2 linked regions of the Rattus norvegicus genome follow. The protein of the gene in region 2 binds, or shares a complex with, the protein of the main gene of each other region. Links are inferred from orthologs where the notes say so. Each region holds a gene or a part of one and is shown on either strand. Other genes may lie near its edges. The genes, in order: Polr2b and Gtf2a1.

Region 1 (15,314 bases), on a different chromosome or scaffold from region 2:
TTTCCTAAGAGCATCAGTAGAGAGAGAACAAGTGTGGGTTTTTTTCTTTTGTGTGGAATAGAATTTAACATTGGAAAAATCTGTATAATTCAGTGAGTCTGTATTTCCTAAATGATTAATTGTGATGCTGTACAGCTGTGCATTCGACACACAATTTGGCAGAGGGAACAAGCCTGAACTAGGACCTTGCACATTAGCCAAGTACTCTACCATTAACGGGCATCCAAGTAAGGCAGTGATTTTAATGTAGCAAATTCACTGATGAGGCTTTCAACTTCTCATTACAAGTAGCGTAAAATAATGAAAAGGCTAACCCATTCTTAGTCTGGCTACTCTCTGGCCCCGGTGGTCTCACCACCTCCATGACCTCCAAGCACCCACGCTATCGCCTCAGGGCACCAGGAGGCCTGGCCTGCTCTCATCTGGGCAGGCTCTCTGACTCAGGGCTCCAAAATCTCTCCACCCAATTCAGTTCCCACTCTCCACCAACTAAGTTCCCATGGCGTGGCTGGCTGGGGTGCCCCGCCACCGTATCTTTCTCTGGAACTCAGGTGAGTCACAATATGAAGGAAAATACCACACAATCTTAGTTTAGAATCCACGGGTAACACAATTGTTGGGTGCAACAACTAACATCCTAATTTGTACACCATTTTAAATTAAATCCTCTGGTGGCAAATCCTGACAGATCCGCAATCTAAACCGGGGCCTCTTGTCTGCTACACCTTGTCTTCTCAGCTCTCCCCGTCCAAATGCACTAGACTTGGAGAGATGGTGGCTCAACAGTCAAGACCATGTGCTGCCTTGCAGAGGACCTGAGCTCAGTCCCCTGCATCCACTCACAGCTCGGAACTGCTTGTAACTCCAGTTCCAAAGGAGCCCACACCCTCTTCTGGCCTCTGCTATCACCAACGTGCAAGACAGTGCACACAAATATATGCAGACAAAACTCCCATACACTTTTAAAGTAATTAAAAAAAGAGAGAGAGAGGGAGTAGGAGGGAGGGAGGGAGGGAGGGAGGGAGGGAGGGAAGGAGGGAGGGAGGGAAAGGAAGGAGAAAGGGGGGAGGGGGAGAGAGAAAGAGAGACAGAGACAAAAGAGAGACAAAGAAATGTTTAGCTGGCCTCATGCCAGTATTCACACCATTTGAGAGGCTGGGGCAATGCCAAAAGTTGAAGGACATTCTAAACTACAGAATCTTTTATTCAGTCTCTCTCTCTCTCTCTCTCTCTCTCTCTCTCTCTCTCTCTCTCTCTCTTCTCCTCCCTGCCTGCCTCCCTCCCTTCATAGAGAGAAAATAGGAAAAAGAAAAAGGAAATTACAAATTCTCAAGCACAGTGTACAGTGGTGCAGGCTTATAAGTGAGGCCTGCAGTGTGAGCCTCCTGTAGGAGGCTGAGGCAGGAGGTTACCATGAATTCAGAGTCAACCTGGCCTTCATAGTGAATACCAGGTCATCCGGATTATATAAAAACATACTGTCACAGGGTCAAAAAATACTGGCTCAAAAATAAATGAAAATAAAGATTTAGAAAGGACAAAAACTAGAGTAGCTCTTCATTTTAGTATAGCAACAAAAAAACACCATTCTTCTCTTTTCCAACTGTATCTGTCTATGTGACATCAGAGCTCTCTCAAACACTTTAAACACCCGAGCTCCCTCAAATACAATACTGAGCTAATGAGCTGGTTCAGTGGGTAAAGGTTCTTGCCAGGACCTACGTGGCGAACGGAGAGAAGCAAATTCCTACAAGTCGTATCCTAACCTCCACACTCACACCATGTCACCTCACACAGTAGACAAAGGTAATAAAAACATTCTCCTCAAACACAACATTGATCCTGTGTGGTGGCACACACCAATAATTCCCAATAATTCCAACCGTGTGGAGGTGGAGGCAAGGCACAGCTGTGTAACAAGAGTCTATCCTGTGCTATTATGAGACTCTATGGGAAGAAAGAGTGAGATGAGGAAGAGAGGAAGGGAGGTGGAGAGAGAGGAAGGGAAAGGCAAAATATTGCAATGGAATTAATTCAGAAGTAGAAGAGTCCAGGTGCCTTCTAGCTCACAAAAGAAATTTGCAAAAACTGTAAGCCAATGAATGTCACCTTTATCACTAAGCTTACTTAGAAATATACCGACTTTTCATTAAGCATGTACTAATACGTAATGGTTTTGCCTCTGCTTTTAAATCAGTATTTTAGATTTCAGTCTAATCTCTGCTGTCATGAAAAGCATAGCTCACATGAAGAAAGGTTCTCTGAGGGTCCAGAGATCAGAGGTGATAGCCACTCTTGCATAGTTATATCCAAAGGAAACTGCACGACCACTGGATCTGGTGAACACAGCAGAAACAAGGTGGGGTCTGGCTCACTGGAAGAGCAGTTGCCTAGAATGTTCACAGCCCTGACTTTAAGGGAGAAACTGTTCAAGTGAGGATCAGGAACACAGGCAGTCATCACACCACTGCCTCTACTTACACGTGCTTTACGCTTTCAAGTGAATGGCTAGTTAAACAGAACACAAACGCCACAGCTGCAGCTCCCTTACCGCGATCTGCCCTCCATGGGCTGTCTGTTAAGAATCTGAATGGGCCCCCGAGCACGAGAATGAATTTTGTCATCCACCATATGCTTCAAACGCTGGTAGTAAGTGGGGCCAATAAAAATCTGCGATGTGATTTTGCGACCAGTGAATCCATTGTAGAGCACCTGAAAACAGAGATTTTGTCACACATGACTAAAAATGTAACAAGCTCAGAAACGCATGTGCACTTGCTCTGTACTGCTATTTACACTAAAATCAACCCAGCTTACAATGAGACAGCACTTACCTGGGATGACAGGGGAGACTAGAAGGGACTTTCAGGGTAGAAAAGCATTCTGGGTGATTTCGTTTCTCAGTGTAGGTGCTAGACTCAGTGTGTTTACTTTGTGGAACTTCATCATGCTGTATGCTTATGACTTGCACAACTGAATGGCTTTTTTTTTTTTAAAGATTTATTTATTTATTCCATGTATGTGAGTGCACTGTCACTGCCTTCAGACACACCAGAAGAGAGCATCAGATCCCATTACAGATGGTTGTGAGCCACCATGTGGTGCTGGGAATTGAACTCAGGTCCTTAGGAAGAGCAGTCAGTGCTCTTAACCACTGAGCCATCTCTCCAGCCCGGCTTTCTTGTATATATAAAGTACACCACACAGAACATGGTTGTTACATACAGGTCAGAATGTGCTCTTGTGATAGCAACTATACCTCATTTCCTCTGAGATGGTAGCCGTAGTCAGATAAAAGATTAGAAATCTTCTGCACATTGACAGCATCATTAAACGGAGTAGCATCACCAATTTCACCCTTGTTCGCAGAGACCTTTAGAATGAAAGCAAGTGTGAGAGAAGTCACACATCAATAAAGATATACCCGATTTAAAAATGTTTCCTATAAAAGGCAAGATTTTGAAATTAAAAATGGTTATAAAAGTTGTGTGATACTGATATGCATTTTTTAAATGTTTCACCTAAGATCCTTGTAACAAAGTAATTGCCTAAAAAGAGAGGCTAAAATGCTCTCCAATAGAAGTCTGTCCATGGGACACTATTCTACTTTAACAAGACACCCAAATCCAGAAAACTTACCCTGAAAGATAAAACACAGCTGATACCAAAATTTAACATTTCCTAAAGCCATACTAAACCAACTGTCTGAATTAACTTATCTGTAGAAAAAAGCTGCTGCTATAACCACAAATATACACAAAGGCTGTATGTGCTGTATCTTACAAATAAATTGGTCTTGAGCCCCAATGGTACAATTGGCTAGCACAAGTTACTCAGGCAAAAATTCTTTCTTGGCAATTTTGTGTGTGTGCAAACATGTGTGCTGGTATATGTATATATGTAAGGGAGGAATACACATCCGTGTAGAAGCCAGAAGAGGGCATCAGGTTGCTGGTTAATTTGTCAACCAGAAACAAGTGAGAGGCATCCAGGAAGCAGGAGCTGAGCTGAGGAGCTGCCAGTGGACTGCTCTGTGAGGACCTGTCCTGATTAGCGTAGGTATACTAATGAGGGCTCAGTGCACTAGAGGGCTACCATCCATGAGCAGGTGGGGTCCTGGGACAACCAGACAACAAACCGGGCAAGCCCCGGGCACCGGGATCCTGCATGGCCTGTTTCAGTTCCTGCCTTGAGTTCCTGCCCTGACTTCCCTTCACGACAGGTAAGACTGTAAGCCGTGGGATGAAATAAACCCTTTCTTCCCTATGTTGTTCTATCACAGCAACAATCAAAAGCTAGTGCATTAGGTTTCTTGGTCCATCGTCCTCATACCGCCTGAGACAGGTCTCTCCTCCCTGAACCTGGAGCTGGGCCAAGCACAGTGACTCTTCTGTCTCATACATCAACGCACTGGGTTACAGCCTCTTCTCACACACACTCTTTGTATGTTTAATTCATTTACGCAGAGATCGGAAGTCAGCGTGCAGCATCACTCCTGTCCTTGCAGCATGGGGATCAGGTCTGAAGTCAGGCAGCAGGCTTGCTAACATTTTCCCAGCCCCAGGTATTACGACCCTTTAATGAATAAACAGGTCATCACGCTTGCACAGAAATCCCCCTATCTACTAAGCTATCTCCCTAACCACCCAGATTGCTTAAAAATAAAAAAGGATGAAAACGTGGAATAACCAATCTGAAAGCAGGAAAATATCATATTTGCTTTTAATCAACTATCTTGGCTCAATGATCAGAGAAATGCTCACCAAAATGAAAGACACATCAACTTGGAACCTATTGTTTTTCAGGACAAAATCTTACCTTCCCTTGGAGACATTCAATCAAGTGACCAATCGTCATCCGAGAGGGGATGGCGTGGGGGTTTATGATGATGTCAGGAGTTATGCCTTCACAAGTGAACGGCATGTCCTACAAAGAAAAGTGTAAAAAACTTAATAGACAAAGCTAGACAGACCTGATACTGCCCAAAGAAAAATATGAATGCCCTAATTCTTTGTCAACATGATGGGTTAACAAACACTAACATTTCAACAACAAAAAAGTTACAGGAAATTTTAATTAATCTTTCAATACAACTCTGAGTTAGGCAAGAGAAAGACTGAAGACACCTACCTCTTGTCTATACTGAATACCACAAGTACCCTTCTGACCATGTCGGCTAGCAAATTTGTCTCCGATCTGCGGAATTCTAACAGAGCGTACCTGGTTTCACATAAAAATGGGTTAGAAACTGAAATGCAATTATTTTCTAAAATGATCTACATGAATTAAGCCACACTCACCCTTATTTTACAAAATTTATATCCTTCCTGGTTGAGAGTGACCATGACCTGGTCCACAATGCCTGTCTCACTGGTTCTGAGGAAGGTGCTGCAGTCCCTCTTGGTGTAGCGCCTGTTGGTGCTCTCCAGCTCATCCTCGTTCTCAGGGAGGGTGACCGTTTTGCCTATAATAACATCGTCTCCCGACACTCGGACCCCTGGCGCTATCAAGCCATCATCGTCCAACTTGTCATAAATGGCATGCCTCATGCCTGTGGAAACAGATGGGGAATTTCCTTACATGACACTGAGGAAAAATATTTAAAATGCTACTTAACTCCCCCAACACACATGAGAAACTAAATACATAACTCTGTTCCACAAATATTGTTCATTGTTGTCCTTATTCCAAACTCTGCACTCTGATATCATAGTTTATACCTGGGCATGGTAGCACATGCCCTTAATCCCAGAGCTCAGGAGGCAGAGGCACATGGATCTCTAAGAGTTTGAGGCCAGCAAAGGCTACCAATCAAAGACCTTGTCTCAAACTGGGGGTGGGGAAATAGCTCAGCAGTTAAGATCACTAGCTGCTCTTCCAGAGGACCCAGGTTTAATTCCTAGTACCCACAAGGCAGCTCATAACCATCTGTAACTCCTATCAGATGTCTTCTTCTGGCTTCCAAGGTCACTGGGCATATATACAGGCAAAATACTCATACACATAAAATAAAAATGATTTTTAAAAAAGAAAATAAATTTACTAAGAAAAACAAAAAACAAAGCAAACAAACAAACAAAAAAATGGAACCGAACAGTGGGAAGTCAGTTTCTATGGAGAGAGACAGTCCATAGTGTGTGGCCACTGTCACATGAGGAAGAATGCCTGGGTCCTACACATACATTATCCCACAGAAATCATGAACTATGCTAACCTCCCACCCTACTCCCAATACAGGGTTTCTCTGTATAGCCTGATTGTTCTAGAACTCACTCTACAGACCAGATTGGCCTTGAACTCAGAGATTAGAACTCAAAGATCCACCTGCCTCAGCTTCCCAAGTGCAGAGACTAAAGGCACATGCCACCACCACTGCCCAGCCAAGTAGTGCATTTTAATTCCACTAAACACTGACTTAGTGCTACATAGAGCCAACCAATGGGAATACAGTAAGAGAAAGAACTTAGGGAAACAGAGGACACTACACCTTCACACAATACTATTAGGAGTCCATTTTGTTCATGCCTGCCAGCTATTCCACACTGTTACTGTAACATGCCTGCCAGTCACTGACTCAGAGAAGTGACTTGGCTCAAGGACATGCTGACCACATACCCTGTTTTGTTCTGTATGAGGTCTGCTAATCTTAAAGAAATTCCACAATGCTTTATATAGAGCCCATTGAATCAAAGGTCAATATGAATTGTTACTTCTAAAAAGACTTAAGTCAGAGCTGATCACCCAGCAGCTCTTCCTGCACCTACCCTGAGATCACTGTGGTTTACATGGTTGACACTGAAGAATGCTAAGAAGCCCAAAGTTATGATTATAATACTCATGTTCTGTTATCTCAATGTCCTGAAATTCGCCTGTTCACCACCCATCCTCCATCCCCCTTACCTTCCCTCAGAGCCAGTCAGCTTGAAGGTCAGCTGACAATACTTTGCTTAGTAGGCCAACTGCTCCCTCCTTGCCCTTTAAACTCCCGTACCAGGTTTTTCCTATAAGAAGCCTGCCCTGAGAGCAGACTAGTACTGCAATTGGGCTCCTGAGTCCTTTCTGCAGCTCTTGAGCATTCAGTATCAAGGCGTGCACTCAATAAACCACTCAGTATTTGTATGCTTTCGGTGGCAATTCCTGGACCCCACGAGACGTCACTGTCTCTTACCCTGACATGTTTCACGTGTAGGCTTCTCGAACACTTCTTCTTGATCAAATCCTTTTTTAGACTCTTGTTCTTTGTATGATCGGTAGAAAACAGACCTAAAAACAGAGTTCTAAAGGTGATTCATAATTTTCTTTCAGAAAAAAGGCTTAGATTTACAGCAACGGTGTTTGGCTTAACTGATATTTGAGAGGCAATGTGAAACACAAAGCAGGCACAAGGATCACTATGTTCTAGGGTCAAGGTTCAGTTGTAAATAGGCTTTGCACATAGCATCTGATTCACACATGAGATCAGGGGGCCCTAGGTAATTAAGTCCATCCTCCTACTGACAGAAGTCCTCCTAACAGCCCAGAGCACAGCCACCCTTCATCTGCTCAAGTATGCCCATAGAGGCAGTTTTACATGAAGCTGTGACGTCCACGCTTTAGTCCTAGTGCTGCTTTCTAGAATTACACAAGGAGAAAAAGTTCCCCTCTAAATCCCCGTGGTTCAAAGAACCGCCTTATGCTGCATGTTTAAGATTAATTGTGTGGTCAGTAAAAAGGAGAAGAACGGGAAGCCAAATGTGGTGGTGCACATTTGTAATCCCAGTTACTCAGAAGACTGAGGTGAAAAAGTACCACGAAGTCAAAGCCAACCTGGACTACATTGTAAGTTCAAGGCCAGCATGAACTATATAGTGAGACTGTCTCAAAAAACGAACAAGAATATAAATAAAACACATTCTAATTTTACCAGTAGTTACCTCAGACTTCTGTTTTTTAATTTCTTCCTTAGATGTTTCTGTACTATCCAGATGCAATTACACACTTGCTTACAGTAGAAAATATCACATCTACAACCCAGAAGCACAAGACTCACTGCCTGTAGCTGCATGGCCGCCAGCCAGATCTGCTTCTGGATTCGCACAGTCGAGCTTATTCTTAAAAAACTTTATAAAAAAAAAAAATGCAACCCACTACATCTGTATTTCAACAAATTTGACCAAAAGCTGACCTGAAAAAGCCTCGATCCACAGCTGAACGATTCATGATAACAGAGTCTTCTTGATTATAGCCCGTGTATGATGCAATGGCCACAATTGAGTTGATTCCTACAACACATTCAAAACACACAGTAAAGAACCATCAGGGAAGCAGGGAAACCTATCCTTTCATTGAAACCCATTTTCTTCAATCATTTGTCACAAACACTTGGATGTCGTATCATGGAAATCGCTGCTGTCTACTCCTCCCTGAAGCTGTGTGTGAGGCAAATGCGCTGCTAACTTAACCTGAACCCGTCATTCCCAGGGAAGCCGTCCTTACTATCACATGAACCATGTAGCTCTGTGCCTTAAACAGAACAAGCTTTATTATTCTCATGACTCAAAGGTAAGAACATATGCCCCAAAGTGAATTAGCCTCATAATTTTTAATTTTCAATATGAAACCAACTCCACCCTGCCACTCTCTCCCCATGCCACCACAGTGTGACACCATCTTCCAGGGCACAATTAATCCTTAGTAGCTGCTGCCCTAACTACTTTAGCTGACATAAGGCTAGGTGTGGAGGCAAAGGTCTATCACCTGACACTCAGGGGAGGCAAAGGCATGAGGACCACATTAGCTCAGGAATATGAAAACAGCCTGGGCAACATAGGACCATCCCATCTTTAAACAGCATAGGGAAGGAGGAGAAGGGGGAGTGGGAGGCAGAGAAGGGGCAGGTGGGGAAGGGAGGGAACAAGAAAAAAAAGGAAGACGGTGAGCCCACACTATAGCATTTGCTGTACAAGCCTGTCAAACTAAGTCTGAGCCCAGAACCTATGTAAAATGGGAAGAACTGACTCCATAAAATTGTCATCTGATCTATATGCATGGCACGGCACCCATGCACAGTTATAACTAATAACAAGAGATTGATTTATTGTAAGGAACTATGAAGCCCAAAGTCGTATTCCCAGCACTAAGGAAGGGTAAATAGGAAAGTCAGCCTAGGGTATATAGTGAGCCAGCTTGGAGCTACAAGAAACCTTTTCTCAAAAAAAAAAAAAAAAAAAAAAAAAAAAAGGAAGGAGGAGAAGGAAGATTGGTAACAGAATACTACAGTAAACTAAAGCATTAGAAAACATTCTAACTGAGTACGACACTAGAAGACACAAAGACCTCACACACAGTCCGTGAATTAGAAGGATTAACCCTTGGAGATGGGTATCCTACCAAGGAAAGCTGCCAACAAAGCCCCTAGTGCCACTCTGCAGGTACAGAGAGAGCAAGCACAAGAGACCTCAGACAGCAAAAGCAGTCCTGAGCATAAAAATACTGCCTGACTTCAAATTATACTGCAGGGCCAAAGTAACAAAACAGAGGGCACATACTACAGCTACCTAATTTTTTATTCGTTTTGTTAAAAACAGAGTCCATCCTGTAAACCAGAATGATCTAGTACTCAATGTGTAAACCAGAATGATCTAGTACTCAATGTATAAACCAGAATGATCTCGTACTCAATGTGTAAACCAGAATGATCTAGTACTCGATATGTAAACCAGAATGATCTAGTACTCAATGTGTAAACCAGAATGATCTAATACTCAATGTGTAAACAGAATGATCTAGTACTCAATGTGTAAGCCAGAATGATCTAGTACTCAATGTGTAAACTAGGTTGGCCTTGAACTGCGAGAGATCTGGAAGCCTCTGTATCCTGTTTGGCTAACGTCCAGCTAGCAGTAGAGAATTGATTCCTTCTCTAGCCTCTGTGGGCACTGCATGCTCATGGTACAGATACATACACGCAGGCAAGACATTCACACACACAAAATTGGAATAAACAATTCAAGGACCTCAACATAAGACTCAGAAACTGTTACAGGAAAACTGTGGAGAGTACACTTCACCATATAAGCTTAAGTGTGGCTTTCTGAATAGGAAATCACTCAGGAAATTTGGCCAATAATTCCCTGCAAAGGGAACTGTCAATCAAATGAAGAAACGGAAGAACAGGAGAAAATCTCTGTAGCTCCACACTCAGCAGAGGATTTGAATCCGATCTAAAGAGACTAAACATTAAGGACACAAGCTGAACGGAGTTCTTAAAGAGAGAAATACGATGACTAGTAAACATCTGAGCGTTGAACACCACCAGACACCAGAATTATGGAGATTACAAGCACTCTGAGATTCCCTCCTGCTCCAGTCAGAAGGGCTATTCAAAAAACACAGGAGAAAATGCAGACGGGGATGTGAGAAAGAGAAACTCTATTTGCTGTTATCAGGAGTGCACCCTGGTACAACCACTGTGGAAATCAGTGAGGTTTTTTTAAAAGCTGAAAGTGTAACATCATATTTTAATAACCCATAGAATCCAATATCTGCTGTACATATACTTATGGATGTGGGGCCATTCACTCAAGTAAGGTACCAATAGCCACACCCTTAACAAAACCTGATTCTCCCTCTCGGGGGAGCCATCAACTCCAAACCTCCACTTTTAAAATAATACTCCAAATTGCTCAGGCTCTTTCCACACCATGAGAACAAGCTTCAGTCACATATAATGATGCTATAGCCACATACACTGGCATGACCTAGTCCCACATCTCACAGGCTCCCAAATGAAGGCCTTTGCTCAAATTCAAATATCTCCTTTACCAATATCATTCCTCCATAAAAGCAGCTCTACCTTCCAAGAGGAATCAATCATTTTGACAGTGTACTTCAATTGGACTTTACACCTAACAACACCCTTTGCACACATCCATTCACCCTTTTAATTTCATTTGTGTTTCCCACATTCTAAAGTCTGCAAAGCGGTCACTGTTGTGTGCGTTTTTAATCTTCCCCAGCCCTTCTCACTGAAGTGTCTTATGCATGGCAGGACAGCTGGCATACCTGCTGGCAGTTCTCTAAACCGGAGATACTCCATAGACCGTGTAGTCACAAGGGGCTTCTGAGGATAGTAGAGAACGTGCGCCAAGGTGTCCATCCGAACGTGGAAGTTGGTGATATAAACTCCCATAGCCTGCTTGCCCATAGCAGACTGGTACGTGTTTCTAGGGGACTAACGGGAGAAACAAAAAATAAAGACAATGAATTTCTCAGACAGGTAATAACCACTATGGCTTTCAACAAAAACAGGAGCAAGAAAACTGGTGGTGAATGGGAAATGCCCCCAAGTCGGCGATTTGAACCCTGGCTCCCAGGGAACAGTGCTGTTCCCAGAGGTTCAGGAAGTGTGGCCTTGCTAGTAGAAGCACATCACGGGGACCAGCTTTGAGTTTAGGGGCCATGCGCTATCCCCCACCCTGCTCTCTGCTTCATGCTTTGGGATAAGGATTACTGCTTACTATTCCCCTGCCTCTGCTCCTCCAGCATGGACTCTTATCTCCTCTGGAAGCAGAACCCAAAATAAACTTCTATCTTTAAGTTGCCTCTGGCCGTGGCATATTACCACAGGGACAGAAAAGTGACTAATACACAAGTCACACAGCGGAGTCTGTAGGTGCTCACACCCTGATGAGATGACATACTAATCCCTAGTACTGATTACTTCCCCGATTCTTTACAAATCACAAGACAGAACTACAACCAACCTGGTTATGATCAGGAAAAGGAATAATAGATGCACAGACGCCAAGAATCATTGATGGGTGAATCTCACAGTGGGTATAGGTGGAGCAATAAGCTACTTCTTTCTCCTGCAAATCATCTGGAGTCATTGCAAGCATCACGGTTTCTTCTTCCAGGGTATCAATATACTCTACTACCCCACTGGCTACCAGATCCTGCCAACTAAAAAGTTCACTCAGTGTCATGAAATAACTTAATACAAAGTCTACTGCTTTACAATTACTTCCATTTGTGTTTGTACTAACAAGGAAAGAATTCAGACATGACTGTTAATGTGAAAAGGCTGCCGGGCTATACACTATTAGGCTGCTATTCACCTTGTTTTAAACAGCTATACTTGTGGGCTCATAGTTACAAGAGCACTGGCTGCTCCTCCAGAGGTACTGAGTTCAATTCCCAGCATCCACATGGTGGCTCGGGGATAGGATCCGATACCCCCCTCTTCTGGTGTGTCTGAACACAGCTACAGTGTACTCACATACATGAAATAAATAATTCTTAAAAAAAAAAAACTATACTTGTGAAGTAAGGATGGAAAGTAGATAAAACAGAATAAGGTCTTGTAGAATACATATATCCACCCATTACTCATATTTACTTGTGAAAAGAACATTATGAAAAAATTATGACAAAACCAGCAAATATGAAGTGAGAATGCTCACTCTTTTACTACACGTTATTTTACAATATACTTATGATATTATTTAGAGTAAAATTTTAAAACAAGCTCATTTTTTCTAGCATATTTCTTATTTATGCCAGGAGTGGTAGCACACTATCTATATTCTTTGTACTCAGGAAGTTGAGGCAATAAGGATTTCACTGTGTGTTCCACATCAGCCTGGCCTATACGGCAAGAATGTTCCCCCCAAAATATATTAGTCCCATTATATGGACATGTTCCGCACCACACAGGTTATTTACCATTACATTTTAACACACCAAAGACTTTCACACCAATACAAATCACGCAAGTCCACTGTACAACTAATAACAAAAACCAGGAAGAATAAATATGGCCACAGATGGTAGCATTCCTCCCAGCACTGATACCGTAAACTGGGCAGTGACAGTGGCTGTACAACCTTGGGCTTACCCTGAAGACAAATGGCACACTTTCCATCACAGGTTTTGACTACACGTATTTTTCTCTCAGTCACCATCTTACCTGTAGTTGTTATATTCTCTCTCTTTCAACTGGTCAATGTGTCTCTTCTTCAAAAGAAGCTTTTGCTTTTCCACAATTAGAAGTGGTCTACAAATACGGCCTGCGTCTGTATAGATCCGAATCTCACGCTCGCGGATATCTCTGATCATAGAAACCTAGATAGAAAAGACAAAAAAAAAAAAAAAAAAAACCAATCTTACGATTTTCTTTTCTGGTATGATGATAATTCAGCTAAAAATACAAGTAGCTGGGCCTAGTAGGGTTCCCTATAATACCGTCATCCAGGAAGCTGACCAGAGAGGTCAGTTGATCCTAGGTTAACAGCAGCATAGGCAAATCAGTAAGACTGCGCTGGAGGTTGCCCAGCAGTTAGGACACTGACCACTACTGCAAAGGACTCAAGTTCAGGAACCCACATGGTGACTGACAACCATCTGTCACTCCAGGTCTAGAAGATGTGAAACCCCTTCTGGCCTCCACAGGCACCAGGCACACACATGGAGCACATACACACATTAAGGCAAACATTTACCATGTAAAATAAAAGGACACACACAGCTAAGCTGTGAAGGGCTCTAGCATGTGTGGGTCTCTAGGTTTGCTCTTCAACAGTGTACCCTTGCAAAAACAATTAATAATCTAAATAAAACTATTGCATTTAAGGTGACCCAAGCGTCAAATAAAATAGATACGCCAGGTACTGGTGGAGCATACCTTTAATCCCAGCACTCAGGAGGCAGAGGAAAGACAGATCTCTGAGTTCAAGACCAGCCTGAAGTACAGAGAGAGTTCTAGGACAGACAGGGAAACCCTGACACAGGGAGAAAACAAAAAAGCAAAAACAAAACCCTCAAAGCAAAAAGATAAATCTACCATAGTTAATCTATTATAAAAAGATGTAACTGTAAAACTCAGGAGTAGGAAAAAAATCTAACTTAATCTTAATTATTCCACTGAATAACATTAGAAGAGTATACAAGTCAAAGTGAAAATGAAGAAAACATTCTTCAGTACCACAAACACAAGTACATAAAATTTTCTTATTTTAGATTTGTATGTTTACTACTTCTTTTGGCTCTGTCCTTGTAGTACTGGAGAATGAACCCAGGGCCTGGCTTATGCTAGGCAAGTGCTCTACCACTGAGCTACAATCCCAATCCTTTAGTACAAACATTTCATCCTGGCTACCTTCCAGTAACCTCCCTAGTGGCTCTTCTTAAACAGGATCCCTCTATGTAGCTCTGTCTAGAACCTCTTTATGCAAAGCGGGCTGCCCTTAAACACACAGATCCATCATCCCGCCTCCAGAATACTGTGGTTTTTTTAAAAGACGTGTCGGGATACTGCTGTCTGGTCCATACTTTCCCATTTACTCCAAAGCCTGACTTTATCACCAAGCAGACAAATGGCTTAAAGTCCACCTAGAGCAGCTAGCTACCAGTCACAGGTGATTCCTGAGTACTTCAAATATGACCATTCTGAATTGAAATGAGCTACAAAAGTAAATTTCATGGATTCAAAAGATTCTAATAGGGGCTGGAGAGATGGCTTAGTGGTTAAGAGCACAGAATGCTCTTCCAGAGGTCCTGAGTTCAATTCCCAGCAACTATATGGTGGCTCACAACCATCTGTAATGGGATCTGATGCCCTCTTCTGGTGTGTCTGAAGACAGTGACAGTGTACTCACGTATATAAAATAAAATCTTTAAACACTCTTGAACACTATTAAAAAAAAAGATACTAATATACTTTTAAAAAAGCAATACACTAACACTTTTACATTGGTAAACATTTGGGATCTATCAATCAAATAAAATAAAGAATTAAAAGTTATTTCATGGAGTTGGGGATTTAGCTCAGTGGTAGAGCGCTTGCCTAGCAAGCGCAAGGCCCTGGGTTTGGTCCCCAGCTCTGAAAAAAAGAAGAAAAAAAAAAAGTTATTTCATTTATTTCTGTTTTACTTTTTTAATGTGACAACTGAAAAATTTTTAATTGTATGGTATTTCTACTGCATGGCAGTGGTCTACAAACACATTCCTAGAAAATAAAAAATGTATTTTGGGAAAATATGCAATGTAAAATTTATGAATAATAGCACTACAGAAATTGAAGTGCTTATATGAAAAGAAGTCAAAAAAAGAAACTCAATTTTCAGTGAATTATCTTATTCTAATATATAATTTTATCAATAACTAGAATAAACTAATTTCCTAAAAGCTGGAAAATTAAAAACTGGGTCATACTTCCCTATAAAATTGCTTTTAAAAAAGTGAAATCAAGGCCTGGTGGGTAAAGGTGCTTATCCTCAGGCCCGATGACCTGGGTTCAATCCCCAGAACCAACTTGACAGGAAGAGAAAACTGAC
Region 2 (15,314 bases):
TCACTTGCTTGTGGGCTGTCCTCACTAACAGAAAAGGGTGTAGGTAGAATCCCCCTGGAACTGGAGTTACACGCAGTTGAGCTGGCTATAGGTTCTAGGAAGTGGGTTCTAGGAACAGAGCTCTTACGTTCTGTGCTCAGATGACTGAGCCATCTCTCTATAGCCCCTCTTTACTTCCCTAAATTCAGTGTTGTATTGTTATTACCATCAGTTGGTTGTGAGCCCATCATTCCAATGAATATTGGCTACATGTAATGAGCAGCTAAGTACATAGTCTACTCCCCTACTTTCTTCTGTCAAGGACCTAGCAATCAAAATTCAGAACTGAGAAGGTTTACAGTGTATTTCAGTAGTAAGAGTGCTTTCCCGGTTAGCATGAAATGAGAACCACAAATCCAGAACCATAAGAAAATAAAAGGAAGAAGGAAAGGAAAGGAGAGGAGAGGGGAGGGGAGGGGAGGGGAGGGGAGGGGAGGGGAGGGGAGAGGAGAGGAGAGGAGAGGAGAGGAGAGGAGAGGGGAGGGGAGGGAAGGGAAGGGAAGGGAAGGGAAGGGAAGGGAAGGGAAGGGAAGGGAAGGGAAGGGAAGGGAAGGAAAGGAAAGGAAAGGAAAGAAGAGGAGCTGGCTGCTACACAAGAGGAGGAGAGCTGATTCTGAGGTGAAATCCCAGACTTAGGCTATCGTCAGATTAAGAAGTGAGCCACAAGCCATTATAATAAATTGCCAAGGTTATTTTGTGATGTTTGCAAAAGTAAGAATAGTTGTATTAAAATCTAAACCAATGCTTTTCTTTTGGGGGGGGATTTTATATATATATATATATATATATATATATATATATATATATATATATATTTTCATTCATTCTATGTTTTTATTGGGTTATACAGTATACATAAAAGCTTAAGAAACATTGTTTTCTGCACTGTTAGTTAATGGATTAACTTTCTAAAGTTTACAAACACATCTGCTGAACTGTAATAATCTGTAGACTATATTATAGATTATGTTAATTATATTAATCTGCATAATCTGAACATTATGATATATATGTATATAACCTATAATATAATCACCTTTATATCTGTAAAAATAGCCCGCATCCCAACTGGAAGTCTAAAACCATTCTCACCTCAATTATGATTTTTTCCCCCTACATACATACCCATGATAAAAGTTTAATTAGCAAACTATAAACAGTGCAATAAAAGAGAACACCTATAAGAATATTCTGGGATAACAAGCTATGTGATTGTCTCTTTCTCAAAGTACTTTATTGAATGTCTGCAGCTTCTCGTGGGGATATGAAATCCAATATCTATGTGGTAAGATTTAGGTGAAGTACAGACACTTGTTAGGTTATCTAAACAAACACACTATGACACTGCACAGGTATTTCGGCACCTGGGTGGACATTAAATGATTAATGGATGAGTTGCATATGCAGAGTGGATAAGCTGGACAGAGAAATGACTCACAACTAGATACTACACAGCTGACTGGAGAAAGATTTTATCATTCTGGTCAGCATGCACACAACCTACAACTCACAAATTACTGATTTCTGGATTATTTCACTTAATATTTTCCTAACAAAGCTGACTAAGGGTAATCAAAACCTCAAAAAATAAGATAAGGAATCTGGAGAGAATGACTTAGTAGTTAAGAGCACTTGCTGCTCTTTCAGAGGTCGCAGGTTCAGTTCCCAGTTCTCTCATGACACCTCTCAATAGTCTGTAACCCCAGTTCCAAGAAATCCAATGCCATCCCCTGGCCTCCACAAGCACTGAGCACAGCCATGGTACCTACAAGCAAAACACCCACACACATTTCCTTTTTAAAGAAAGACTGTAAAGGGGCAGGAGAGATGGCTCAGAGGTTAAGAGCACTGGCTGTTTCTTCCAGAGGTCCTGAGTTCAATTCCCAGCAACCACATGGTGGCTCCCAACCATCTGTAATGGGATCTGATGCCCTCTTCTGGTGTGTCTGAAGACAGTGACAGTGTACTTACATACATGAATAAACAAATCTTTTTAAAAAAAGAAAGACTGTAGATAAGGGGAAACTAGCAACTATTTTTAAGAACAGCAGCTTAGTCCCATCTATTGCCCCAGTTAGTCAGACTCCTGAGCAGAGGCTTAGTATGGCTTGTTTGCAAAGACTAGCTGCCACTGCAACGGGTACTGTATTTGTTACAATACTGAGCTACTTTCTGCTAAATAACCTTAGGCTACTCCATTGCTCTTAATGTGCAGTTTCTAAAATGAACCATATCAAAGTTCCGTAAGCCCAGAGAAAGGCAGTCTCTTAGACTGGGCATGCTGAGCCATGTCTTCAGTGCAGACACAGGAGAGGGGCAAAGGCCAGTGTGTCTGTTTCCAAGGCCACCCATTCGAGGGTAGGGGGTGTTGGGGGTGGGAGGGTGTTACCCCATGTGCTGTTAGAGATAGTTCTACTTTTGAATGAATTCCTTCATGAAGACATTATTTTACTTGGGACTTAACAGGTAACTAGGAATTTATAAGCTATTTAGTATTAAATTTAAAGAAAGATTGTAAAAAATAATGTTTATTAGAATTCTGTTTTCAGTATAGGATACTACTGGCATTTTAGGCTGAGGATATCTGTATCATACGGGATGGTCCCACAGGAAACGCAACATTCCTAGTCCTTGCCTACTAAACGACAAAGGTGTTGGCCACTCCTGACACATGAACATGTCCACATCCTGCCAAAAGCTTGGCAGGGGTTGGGCCGTCCATCAAGAATCAGAACTCAGGGGTTGGGGATTTAGCTCAGCGGTAGAGCACTTGCCTAGCAAGCGCAAGGCCCTGGGTTCGGTCCCCAGCTCCGAAAAAAAAAAAGAATCAGAACTCAGCTTCGTAAACGTTCTAGTAACTTAATGAACACAGAAATAATACCATATAACTAAGCACCAAGCTTATACCTTCAAATAAAGCTGGATTTACCCACTCAATATTTATCTTTTACTTTCATTTATTAAAAAAGGTTCGTGCATCTAACTGCTATGCTGGCGTGTATGTATGTCTAATGCGCACAGAGGTCCGAAGGCATCAGATTCCCTGCAAATGAATTATGGATGGTTGTGAGCCTCCACGTGGGTACTAAGAACTGAGGACAGGTCCTCTGTAAGAGCAGCAAGCGCTCTTAACTGCTCAAGCATCTCTTCAGCTCTTCAATTTCACTTCTGCACAATTTTAACTTGATCAGAAAGTTCTAGGTCCTAAATATCAGCTGTTAAAATGCTACTCTGCTTTGGCAATAGTAATTGTGCTGGTAATGCTGAACTAGGGATATAGAATTGTTAAGCATTTCTTTGCTTAAAAAAACTGGAAGAGCTCTTTTAATTTTATTTACTCCCTTTCCCACAAGTAAAATATTAATTCTGGCACATTCACACTTCAGCAATTTTTGCCTAGGTATCTAAAATTGACATGACAAAAATTTAGCTTCTGTTCCCCAAAAGTCTGAGACTGTATGTGAGATGATCTGGTAACTACATTTTATTTAATTCTATTGAAATAAGCACACATGTAGACATTATCACCTCCTTCTTTAGAGAAAAGGAACCTGAAAAACGAGTAGTTAAGCAAGTTCTCCAAGACGAGCAAATAACAGAAGGCAAAAGCAGGATAATTACATGGCTGAAGACTAACTCTGTGTCTCTGAGCACCATGCCTGGTACTGCCCTTGCCTCGCCCTTCTCATTTCACCAGTTCCTTCCTCTACTTTCTGTTTCACTTACTCTTTGGAGAAGCTAAGTTCCCTAACATCTTTTGGAAGCTCTGAAATAAAATCAGTGTACACTTTATCCAGAAGCTAGGTACTTTGCAGAAACAGGAACCATTCAAAATCTCTAATCCAACACTGCTGGAGAATGGGCACTTCACAGTTTGAGTACAAGGTAAATGCTGACCATCCTTTGTCAAGGACACTTAACTAAAAGATGGTAGAAATGTGAATGTAGGTCTTTTATCTCATGGCGCACACAGGCTCTCATATTGCCACTACCTACTAGCTAAACACTCTTGTCAAAGGACAGAAGCAGGTAATTATTCAATTTATAGTTTAGGTATTTATATCAATGTATTAAGTATCTATGTATAATTAGGGTGTATTTAGAAAAGTGGTTCTCAACATGTGGTGATTTTGCTACTTCTTCCTTAGGGAGATGGGCAATAAAGCCATCTCTGAACACAACTAATGGGTGTAAGTCAGAACTGGCAGAAGTCAGTCAGTTGCTAACATTAGATATACAGCTGTCAAAATCAGTCCAACGTCAAATGCACCACAGCTGAGGGACTAAACTAGAGGCATAGAACCTCAATTTTCAGATTCCTCTCTAACTGAGGAATCCATTTTATCAGCATGAACGCAAAGGGTTAAGGATGTGGCTCACTGGCATAGCATTGGCCTAGCTTGTACAAGGCTCCCAGTCTGATGAAGAGCAATGTAGTGTGGGTGTGGGTGTGTGTGAGTGTGTGTGAGTGAGGGGGAGAATGGAGGTTCGGAATCACGCAGTTTATATATTTGCTATTTAGATATATAGGTAGGCCTGACAGGTTGGTTTTATCATTCACTTTGAGTTTTGCTTTTACAGTGTTTTGGGTTTTTGGTTTTCTGAGACAACTTCACTACGTAGCCCTTACACAGTACCATTTCTCCTACCTTCCCTTCCTTATTTGCTCATTATTTACTTTGAAGAGAATTTCTAAAGTGTCATTCCCATCCAGTTCCTTGCCAATACACATTCCAATTAAATATGGACAATATTTATGCCTTCCCCCCAGCTCCCATAGTTTAAACACGCCTTAAGTGAGTTCTTAACACGTCAGGAACTGACTTAAATAATTGGCTAGGTTTGTTTTAGTTTTTAAATGACATTTCTGACAATATCTAATTAATCTTTAAATTATATGCTGCCTCACTGTGCATCTCAGTTCATAATCTAATTACCACTGTATCTGATAGCCTCAGCAACCTTGATAATCTGTGAAACAGTTAAAAAAGGAGCTCACTCACAAAGCCCATTATAAATCATAAAACACACAATGGATGCTAACCTTGTGAGCAAGAAAATCTGAATAGCTCAATGTGGTAATAATCACTAACCACATGTAGTGATTTAAATTTAAATTAAATAAAATTAACAAAAATGTATTCCTCAGTTCTTCCAATCACATCCCAGATGCTGCACAGCCACATGTGGCTGCGCAGATGACAGACACACACTTCGGTCACTGCAGACAGTCCTGGGCAAGGCTAGGGTCTACCTGTTAAATCTAGGGCACATTCTGAAAATTCTAATGAGGTCCTGAAATTTAGTGCAGAGAATTAAGTTCATTCTGGTCTAACAGCTTTAACTCTTATTACAACCCAAGTGTGTGCCCCACTTAACAATAACAAAAATAGCATTAGTAAGATTCAGAAGCCACATCCGAAATTAAGCAGTTCAGCTAAATATTTAACTGAGTGCCAGCTACATAGGCCAAGTATTATGGTAGAAACTGAAGATTAAATGCTGAACGAGTTACTTTCAAATGTCAGAAACACACAAGTGAAGACACTTGATTTTTCCAAGACAATTTAATGTCTTTGAACAGCTATAGGGACCAGTCAAAAGACAGAATTCTCCAAACTGTCAACCGACAAAGCAAGAGAAAATAAAGATCCCAGATTGACCCATACCATTTCTATATCTCTAAAAAAACTTTATTCTTTACATAATGTTACAGAGAAGACAATTACGGAGTCCAGCAAAATGTAAAACATTCCCCAGTGCACAAGGACGAAGGTAAGCTTGTCTATTTAATCTTCGTATAATTTAGACATCTATGCTGTTCCAAATCCCAAAGGAGGCATTCTACACCTTTATCTTTAGGCACTCCATTTCTCTCCCTGTAGGGAATAGTTTATTTCCTTATTCTTAATGTACTATAAATACTCTATGCTGTTCCACGATCTTCCAACTCCTATTTCATAAGAGGAATTCTAACACTTGTATCCTTGAGTATTAAAAAATAACTTATTTCCCTCCAGGTAAGTACTACTCATTTCACTAAAACTTAACATTTTTTTCCCTTTCTTACATTGGCAATATTCTAGAAGTTGTCCACAGGTGCTTAAACATATTAAGACATATTTCATCACCACAATAAAGCTCAGACTTCATTTTAAATGAGTGCTAAATTCTAGCTTCCACATCTGAAAGGAAAAGACCACAGCTATGCCCTAAGGACGTATTGGCTGTGATGACTTGAGCACAGCTCTAAAGAAGCTGCTCCCGCTTTCTAAACCAACAGTTACTGCTTCTGACCTCAGGTCCATTTCTCTCTTTTTAATTTATTATTTCAAGTTTTTTGAGGTGGGGGTTGTGCACATGCCAAAGCACAAGTCAAAGGACAACTTTAGAAAATCAGCTTCTGTTCCTCTATCTCTTTCCAAAAATGACTGAGCACTTCAAAAAAATTGGGATACTTTTAGTGTTAAAATTTTAAAATGAAAAGCCTGGGTTTGTATAAATGATGCCAACTTTTCCAGAATTAACTGGGAAAAAAAGCTGATAAAAATGGCATAAAGAAGCTGGATTTCCCATCTGCCTCTCCATTTCAATGTTGTTTTGATCGAAGGGTAGAAAGAAAAAATTCTCATATAGTTACACAACTGAGAAAGCAAAAGATATTTTAAAATATTAAAGTTCAACAATATATAATCTCAATCTGCATACCAATGAACTTTTCATTACTAAGAGTAAAATCTATTAATATATCTTGTTCTTTGAATGATCTTCCGACAATCATTATAAGTTATGAAACCTTCCGAATGTTTACACATTTGACTAAACAGCAGAGCACACATTTTTAGAACAGTCTCCGCACAGTAAATATACACCTAACGCAGCGCTGCTGCACAGGAACAGAATCTAACAGAAAGGCATGGTAAGTGCTGTGCACTTAGGCTGCTGAACTGAGGTACTGACTTTTCTCAGTGGACAATTTTTGTATGTGTACATGTGGAACCTTCAGAAGGATATTAAAATGACTTCCTCTATCTCTCTCCGCCCTTGCTTAGAGGCTGGTCAATAACGCCTGGGATCCACAGTCTCAATCCCCCAGACACTGGGGTGACAGGCACATGTGGGTCTCATACCTGCCTTTTTTTATGTGGTGCAGGAGATGTGAACTCAGGTCCTCTTAACTTCAGAACAAGCACTCTTACTCGTTGAGTCATTTTCCCAACCATACAAGATGCAACTTTTAAATGAAAGAATAATAAACTATGAAATTTTCAAATTGGGTACTTAGTCTAACTAGTACAAAAATACTCCACACTTTCACCTCATTCTACCACCAGAAAACACACATGCTGCCATGTGTATGTGTGCTTTGCCCACATGAATGTCTGTGCACCATTTGTGTGCTGATTAATGCCCATGGAGGCCAAAAGAGGGCACCTCCTGGGACTGTACTTATAGTCTATTGTGAGCCACCATGTGGGTGCTGTGAATCAATCCCAGTTCCTCTGGACAATCAGCCAGAGCTCTCAAGCACTGAGCTATCTCTTCAGTGCCCACACAAATGCCATTTAAAAAAAAAAATCTTTAAGTATGTCTGCATAATAAACCTAAGAGGAAAAACTAGTTCTCAGTGTATAATACACAATAAAAGGAGCATTTAGTCTACACCAAGGATTTTACTCTAGTACCTACACTTTTTTATTGAGCATTTGTTCAATCCCTCCTTCAACATAAACAAATTTTAAAATACAAATACAATAAAAATACAAAAAAAGTAAATACTATTACTGACATGTCAAGTAAAACAACCATAAAAATCACATGTGAACAAGAAAAGCTATTATAAGCCATTGTGATAGGCAGGCATTCTCTATGCTTACTGCACTTCATCCTGAGAACCACCACCCAGGAGTCTGCACTACCACCTCCAATCTCACAGGGAAGGAAGCTGAATACAAGGTACCTAGCTACCCAAGTAGAGGACGTAGAGACGGCAGAGCTGAAGTTTAAGCCAATACCTTTCACTACACTATATACTGTCTCTCCTTAAAGTCAAACATTCATCATTCGACATCTTCATAGAAAAGTTATTAATACTAAAATATTCTTTTAAAAAGAGACAAACTCACAGTTTTTAGTTCCATCAGGACCTGTTCATCCACTCCATCATCCAGAAAAATGTCTCGGACATCATTAATAACATCTTCAATCACAGATCTATACAATTTAGGCTTTAAAGGAAAAATAAGATTCAATAAAAGACTGATTTCAAAATTTTAACAGGCTTTGAGAAATCCTTAATAAAATATCTAATCCTTAAATACAAGTCACTGGGTCAATTATCTAAATCTATTTTAAATTGCGACTTTAAAGATACTGCAATCCTAAGTCAGGCTTAGCACTCTTGAGGCAGAGACAAGAGGATATCAGAGTTCCAGGGCAGCCTGACCTCTACACAGAGAACCTGTCTTCGAAACAAAACAAAACACATATTTTGTCCTTACTAAATTAAATTTTACAGTGACATATTTTATAAAAGTGTAAGGCCGGGCAATGTAGTTCATAAAACAAAGTTCTTTATGCAGACAGGATACACAAATTCCAGTTCTAATTTCCTTGATTGTGACTAAAATTTCTAACATCATAATTAATAAGTTTATGGTTACGCCTGGTTCCTACTATCCATGTTTGATTTAACCCTCGTCCCATCTCACAGCCTTTCCAGTTCTTATATTTGGGGAACTCTTTGTTCACTAGTCATCTTCTGGTCATACCCAGCAGTCTTATCCAAATGTGATCATACAAAAATGACCTCAGTTTTTTCCCTGTCCTGGTCTGTACCTTCAAGCTATATCACCAAACTCTACATTGGTCATGTAATTTTAAATTGGTAGGATAAATTTCCAGCAGACCAGAAGTTTCAATATTTTTTAAATCAGTCACCATAAAAGAAATTCCAACACTGAGACACAAAATTTCGTTCTCTTGCTACTATTCAATCATTCAGCAACTAGCCAATAACTTAACCAATTCAGAAGCACTATTACTGAAGGAAAAAGGAAAATGCTAAACTTCACTCGAAGTGGCTTTTGTCTTTATTGAATACAAGGTCATTTAATAAATCTGTCCTTTTAAAACACATTTTCCAAACTTTGAAACTGGCAAATTGGAGACTGCATGTAGCATTATTGGAAGGTTCCTTTTAGAGGTTGCTAATTTTTTGGCACAATATTTGGTAACCTGGGTGGGTTTGACCATGTTAGCTTCTGGTAAAATTAAAACCATTACTTAATCTTTAATTCTTAAAATTCAGTTTAGGCTGTACCTCTTTCTTCACTTAACTCTACATACACATCAATGGATTGTGAGCACAGAAGCTTCAGTCACCGCGAAAAGCTTCATGCCTTGAGTATTAAGAAAACACTACCAAACTCAAGTCCTCTTTGGGGAAACATTTAACGTACAACGCCATTTTTTTTAAAGCCGAGAATGTTGACAGTATCTCTTCCAAGAAAAAGAAAATCATCCTATCTGATCTAAAACGATTTAAAATTAAACTGTATAAAGGGAAGGAAAAAAGAACAAAACGAGGCTGCAATTCTGGCCTACTTCCCACTACAAACAAAGGCAGTACACTCTAGCTGCCACAGCAAAAACACACTCGGGTCCGTGACAACAGCCTCCTGGCTCCGGAGCGAAATTTCGGCGTGAAGGGAGCGTAGAAATAAACTGAACTCCGCACGCCGGCGCCTCTCGCCTCGGGAGCACGCACCTCCCAGCCCCGCGCTCTGCAGCTCTCACTATTTAAAGCCGGATCTGGTGTTTAAATGGAGAGGCGGTGACGTAGGCCTGAAAAGCACCTTCCCATCCTGGCAGAGTCTATATTAGAGAGCGGCAATGGCTCTATATAAACAGGGCAGCCAAAGGGAGGAGGACCACAAGGCGCAGGCACTGAAAAGCAGGGTAAGCGGCCGCAGCCATGATGGATCGACCCGAGTCGCCAACGGTACAGTGTCGGGCGGCCGCAGGCTGTTCTGCGGCGTTTGGGACCGGGCAAAAAACCCAAGAAAACAAACAAAAAAACAAAACAAAAAAATGTGTTTTATTGTAACAATAAAAAAAAAAGGATCAAGAGTTGGGGTGGCCTAGTGATCACATTGCGTTGGTGACTCTTTTTAAAAGGTTATTTTTATGTGACTGCTTTTTGCAAACCTACGTGATCGCAAGTAACCAAAAAAGGGAGCAGCGGGAAGTAGGCAAATATCAAGGCGAAAGCGGGGGACTCTTGGGCCACTCACTGTAGGCTTTGTTTGTTCTGGTGCTTTTGCTAGTCGAGGATACCGCGGGGGTTTTGCTTCCCCTTCGCCATTTTATCCACTGGGGAGGAACCGAGATAAGTGCTTTCCAACCTTCATCTTTTTTGTCTCTTTTTTTTTTTTTCCTTTCGGAGGATTAGTAAAATCGGCCCCAGCGGAGGCTTCCCAAAGCACCACCTCCAGAGAGCCCCCGAAGGCACGCCCGGCCTTGGCGACGTCCAAGAGGCTCCCCAAACGCGGGGCTCGACCCGCGGACGCTCGGGAGGCTGGCCGGGTCCGGGTCCCGCGTGGGGCCGCCACCCTCCTGCCTGCGCCCCGGGGTCGGCAGCCAGGGCCCAACGGCCTGCGTGGCCCGCCCCGCGGCGCTCCCGGCCTCGCCGCCCTCCGCCCGCCAGCCCGCGGCGCCCCCCCGCCCGGCCAGGCCCGCGGCGGGCAGCGGTGGTGGAGGGCGGAGGGGACCGGGTCGGGAGCGCCGCCTCGCCCGGGCCCGCCCCCGCCCGCCCCGGCCGTTGCCTGCCGCCGGAACCTTTCGCAGCCCCCGCCGGCCACCGCACCACGTCCTTACCACGGTGTTTGTGTTTGCCGAGTTCGCCATTTCCACACACAACACAAACAAGAGAGAACGAGATATTAAAAAAAAAAAAAGAAAAAGAAAAAGAAAAAAAAACTGAGACCCGGAGGGTGACCCAAGTCACCCGCAAGAGTGGGGCAAAAATTTCTCAACAAAACCGATCCAGAAGGAGTAAGAGGCGGGAGACCAGGAGGAGGGGGGCACTCCTCCCGCAGCTAAAAACCTCGAGAATCGCCTAAAGGAAAAAAAAGGGAAAAAAAAATAAGCCACGACCCCTTAGGGGGTTAGGGGGCGTCACCCGCTCCCCCACTCGGCGCCGAGGAGGGAAACCAACACCGGTCACCGCTCCCCGCGCCACCGCTGCCGCCACCGGCTGCAGCTCCAGCCGTCCGGTCCGCCTGCTTCTCCCCTTTATATAGCGAGCCAACAAGCTGCGCGAGCCGCCGCCGTCGCTGCCGCCGAGAGACAGGGCGGAGGGAGGGAGGGGCGGAAAGGGCGGGGGCAGCGGGGGGCGGGGCCGAGCGCGAGACACCGCGAGAACCGCGTGCGCACGCGCGCCGGGGCGTCGCCAGGCCCTGGGTGGGCGGGGCCGCGGAGCTGGAGTAAAAGAAGGCGCGCCGCCGCCTTTTCCAAGTCTCGCGTGATCACGTGGTCGGGGGCGGGGGAGCCCTAGCGGAAGCGTTTCGCGGCGGTGGTCCCGGCGCGTTGGCGGGTTGGCCAGGAGGCGTCACTGGACGAGGCTGGTTTATTTAGGGAACCCAGAGTTCGTGGCTACCTAGCAGGGCATCGGGTGGAGCGGAGAAGTGGAGTAGCGGTGGAGGCTACGGGCTCTCCGGAGGATGGCTGCGTACGGACGGCGCGTCACGTGGCGCGGCTTCCGGCTCCCGCGCGCTGGGGCTTGGGACAGTTTTAAATGCGGAGTCATCTTTTGATTCGTAGAGCTTAGGTCGGGCGAGGAGGAAGTTCGCGCCTTTTGCAAAGGATAGACCTCGTGAAGTTGTGTATAAGTCTAAAGGAGAGGAGAGGAGAGGAAAGCTTTGTGCTCGCTGTATGTACCTTACAGAATTAGGAAAGCCTGTGTTCTCAGCTGTTTGTCTCTACAGATTTAGACTACAAGGTGGTTTGGCTAAAATACCCCCGAAGAATCAGCCTCTACCAACTCACAGAACCTTTAAATGACTTCTTAGGGTGGAGAAGAAAAAAACTTGGATACAACTACCAGATTGGGATACACTAATTACTGCTTTTGTTTTTTAATGTTACCAAAGTGCTGTGATTGCACACAGTGACTAACCATATCTGAAACTTAGGCCCATGACTCACCAACTTGCCAGGCCTGTCACAAGAGATCAGGCAGAGTTCGTCGGTGTCTTAGAATGCAATTCATTGGGAATTTGACCTGTGACGTCCAAGCAAATCCCGCCTTTGTATCAATATTTCAGGAAACAGACTCCTGTTCGGTTGGCAGAATTTAACACTGCCACTTTTCCTGGTCCTAGGAATTTGGGGACAAATAAAGTGTAATGTGGACGTGGGAATTTTATATTCAAAAGGCAACCAAACAACGTCATTCTGTGCCAATGAAGCCAAGTAATAATGGAATATCAAAGACCAGTAGGGCAAGGAAAGATTACAGACTGCTATCACCTCAGGGAAGGGATCAGAGAAGACAGGGGCCGTGCATGCTGAGAAGCTGGGCATAATACCATTCTTGAGAGGTTTTTTTGTTTTGTTTTTAGCACAGGATTTCTCTGTGTATCCCTTGCTTTCCTGTAACTCCGAGATCTGCCCACCTCTGCTTTCACAGTGCACGCCACCTCACTTGCCTCTAGGATTTCTTCAACATTAGCTTCATTCTCTTCTTTAACTTCTTTTTTTAATTTTCTCTTTTTTGTTTCTTTGAGTCGGGTTCTGTAAATTTCAGGACTGCATAGAAACCCTGTAGACCTAGCTGGCCTTGAACTCACAGAGATCTGCCTCCCTCTGCCCTCTGGTGCTGGGAATAAAGGCTTGTGCCACACTACCTCTGAACCACTAAATACACCCTGCACAGGTGTGTCTGGTCTGGAGCACTAGAAAATAACTCACAGGGCATAAGTATTTGAAATTGTGATCCAGTCTACATTTTTAACTTTTTTTTTTAATACTTAGCTTACAATTGTCGTGAGAAACGAGGATCAGGTGTTTCTGCCATCAGTTAAAGACCACTGAAGACAGAACTCAGAAGAATCTATAAACTTTCCTCTCTACAGAATTAATCTTCAGAGGGGATTGATTGGATCTTTGTTGTTAGGTCCGACTTGTGAAATGGGTGTTGTTAATTGGATTTTTTTAAAAGAATTCCTTGAGGAGCTTAAGAGATGGCTCAGCAGTTAGAAGTGATTGCTGCTCTTCCTGAGAACATCACTTCAGGAGACTCAAGCAGCACGGCCCAGCTCATGAAGAACTTGAACACACGAGTGCCGGGATATACACATATATACACAACTGGAAAAATAATCCAATCAGACTACTGGAGGCTCTTTCCATATCTTTAATGTCTAGATTGCAGCAATGCCTCACACATACTGTTCCCCTGTCCAGTGCCCACCCGCCTCTAAGAAACCACCATGGACTCCGTTACAGTGCATTGTTCCTACTTCTTCAATTAGCTGTAGTACCCCTTCAGTCACAAACCAGCTTCAGATATTTTCTGCTCTTGTATCAAAATTCTGAAAAACTTAATGTTTAGCTTCCAAGACAAGGTTGTCCAGAAAACAAACAAAACTGCATCATACTTACATTATTTTTAACCGACCCTCCTTCCTTCTAAAGCTTGAATGACTTATAATTTTAATAGCTCTTTGTATGAAACATACTGGATTTCCAATTTTGAGTTTATAGTTTTAATGTATGTAGACACATAATAGTGCCTTTTTTTTTGTAATGAGTATCTTTCTCTAACTTCAAAATCTTTTATATAGGCAGATAAAAATATCTGTATAAGCCAGGGATGGTAGGCACACCTTTGATCTCCGGCAGAGGCAAGAGGATCTCTGTGAGTTCCAGGATGGCCAAAAGTACGTAGAGAGATCCTGTCTCAAAAGGAAGAGCAACAAAAAAGCCCTGTATATTCTGGAGACCAACACCTCCATGATGATGCCCAAATGGTTAAAATGATCCTTACCTAGTCTACAGATTGAAATGCTCAACTCTTGTCAACATGGGAGAGAAGAGATCCATATTTAAGAAAATAGAGTAGAAACAAAATTCTCCAGTTTTGTGTCTTAAGAATCACGATGAGCTGACTGAAGTGAACCTAGCAGCAACAAGTACACGTAGTACCTAGGTTGTGTGTGTTATTTCAGGTCCGTTGCTTTTGAGACGTTTCTGTTTTCGAATTCTAAGCCACAAGCAGGAAAAGCCTTCCTTAAAACACGAACAAAACCTGAATTTTTTATTTTATAAAATACCTAGAAGAGCCTCAAAACTGACCAATCCAGTAACTTGAAGTAACACTTAATTTCTGGGTTATGATCTTGAACTATTTCTCACTAAGAGCAATCAAAGTTGCTTGGAGATAGTACTGAGGCTGTAACAGGCCCCCAGATCTTAGCACAACTGACTCCATGATGAAAGTACCATCGAGACCATAAAACTCAACACATAACAGCACCACCAGCCAAAACAAAGACCTAATCCGTCAACGTCCATAGAAAAAGTCTCTACAGTACTAACCTTGTTTTTTAGCTTCTGTAGTTCCATTTTTAGCTAACTGTTCTTGTTAACTGAAGTATGACAAACCAAGATACGGTTTTTGAGCTTAAAAGCACACCCTGAGAAAAGGCTCGGGGCTACACTGGAATCCTAAACACCCACTACTTGCCAGCTGAAGACTATTGGCTTAAACCCTGGTATGAATAGTCTTCTCTGGTGGGTACCTTACAACAACTCCATAAACGCTACAAGAAAAATATTTCTTTAGGGACACAGCATGTACATTACTCAGTAGATTATATAGTACACACGAAGCTCAGGGTTCTGTCCCCAGCGCTGCCTAAAACTGGTCACAGTGCTACCAGCCTGTAACTCAACCACTGAGGCAGTAGCAAGAGTATCAAAAGCTCAACATTGGCCATAAATTCATATCCAGCCTGAGTTACATGAAACCTTGTCTCAACAAAAACAAAAACAAAACAACAAAACCTCAAGTATTACTCATCCAAACCAAATGAGGAATATCTTTTCCTACACATAACCAAGGGGAAGAATTTAAATACTATTTTAACAAAGTACCCCTTTAAGTGGTTTAAGCAAGTATTTTTCCTTGACTCTGGAAGCTAGCATTTAAACTACTTAAGCAGGTCCATGTAGTCACAGACACTGGATAGAATCCTGCAATGATTAACTGT

The links.
Region 1: Gtf2a1 (region 2) and Polr2b share a complex: the UniProt entries of both Homo sapiens proteins name them as parts of the TBP-based Pol II pre-initiation complex. The link is inferred for Rattus norvegicus from reciprocal best matches to the Homo sapiens genes GTF2A1 and POLR2B.

What each region holds. Positions count from the first base shown.
Region 1 is NC_086032.1:31,154,067-31,169,380, forward strand, and holds part of Polr2b (DNA-directed RNA polymerase II subunit RPB2), read right to left. Parts: intron 13,105-15,314; coding exon 12,950-13,104; intron 11,944-12,949; coding exon 11,745-11,943; intron 11,213-11,744; coding exon 11,044-11,212; intron 8,262-11,043; coding exon 8,165-8,261; intron 7,264-8,164; coding exon 7,169-7,263; intron 5,552-7,168; coding exon 5,301-5,551; intron 5,221-5,300; coding exon 5,131-5,220; intron 4,927-5,130; coding exon 4,819-4,926; intron 3,374-4,818; coding exon 3,260-3,373; intron 2,713-3,259; coding exon 2,552-2,712; intron 1-2,551. UniProt on the Homo sapiens protein: Catalytic core component of RNA polymerase II (Pol II), a DNA-dependent RNA polymerase which synthesizes mRNA precursors and many functional non-coding RNAs using the four ribonucleoside triphosphates as substrates.
Region 2 is NC_086024.1:116,240,831-116,256,144, forward strand, and holds the start of Gtf2a1 (transcription initiation factor IIA subunit 1), read right to left. Parts: upstream 11,391-15,314; 5' UTR 10,948-11,390; coding exon 10,918-10,947; intron 10,875-10,917; exon of another isoform or gene 9,698-10,874; intron 9,680-9,697; exon of another isoform or gene 9,362-9,679; intron 8,268-9,361; coding exon 8,166-8,267; intron 1-8,165. UniProt on the Homo sapiens protein: TFIIA is a component of the transcription machinery of RNA polymerase II and plays an important role in transcriptional activation. TFIIA in a complex with TBP mediates transcriptional activity.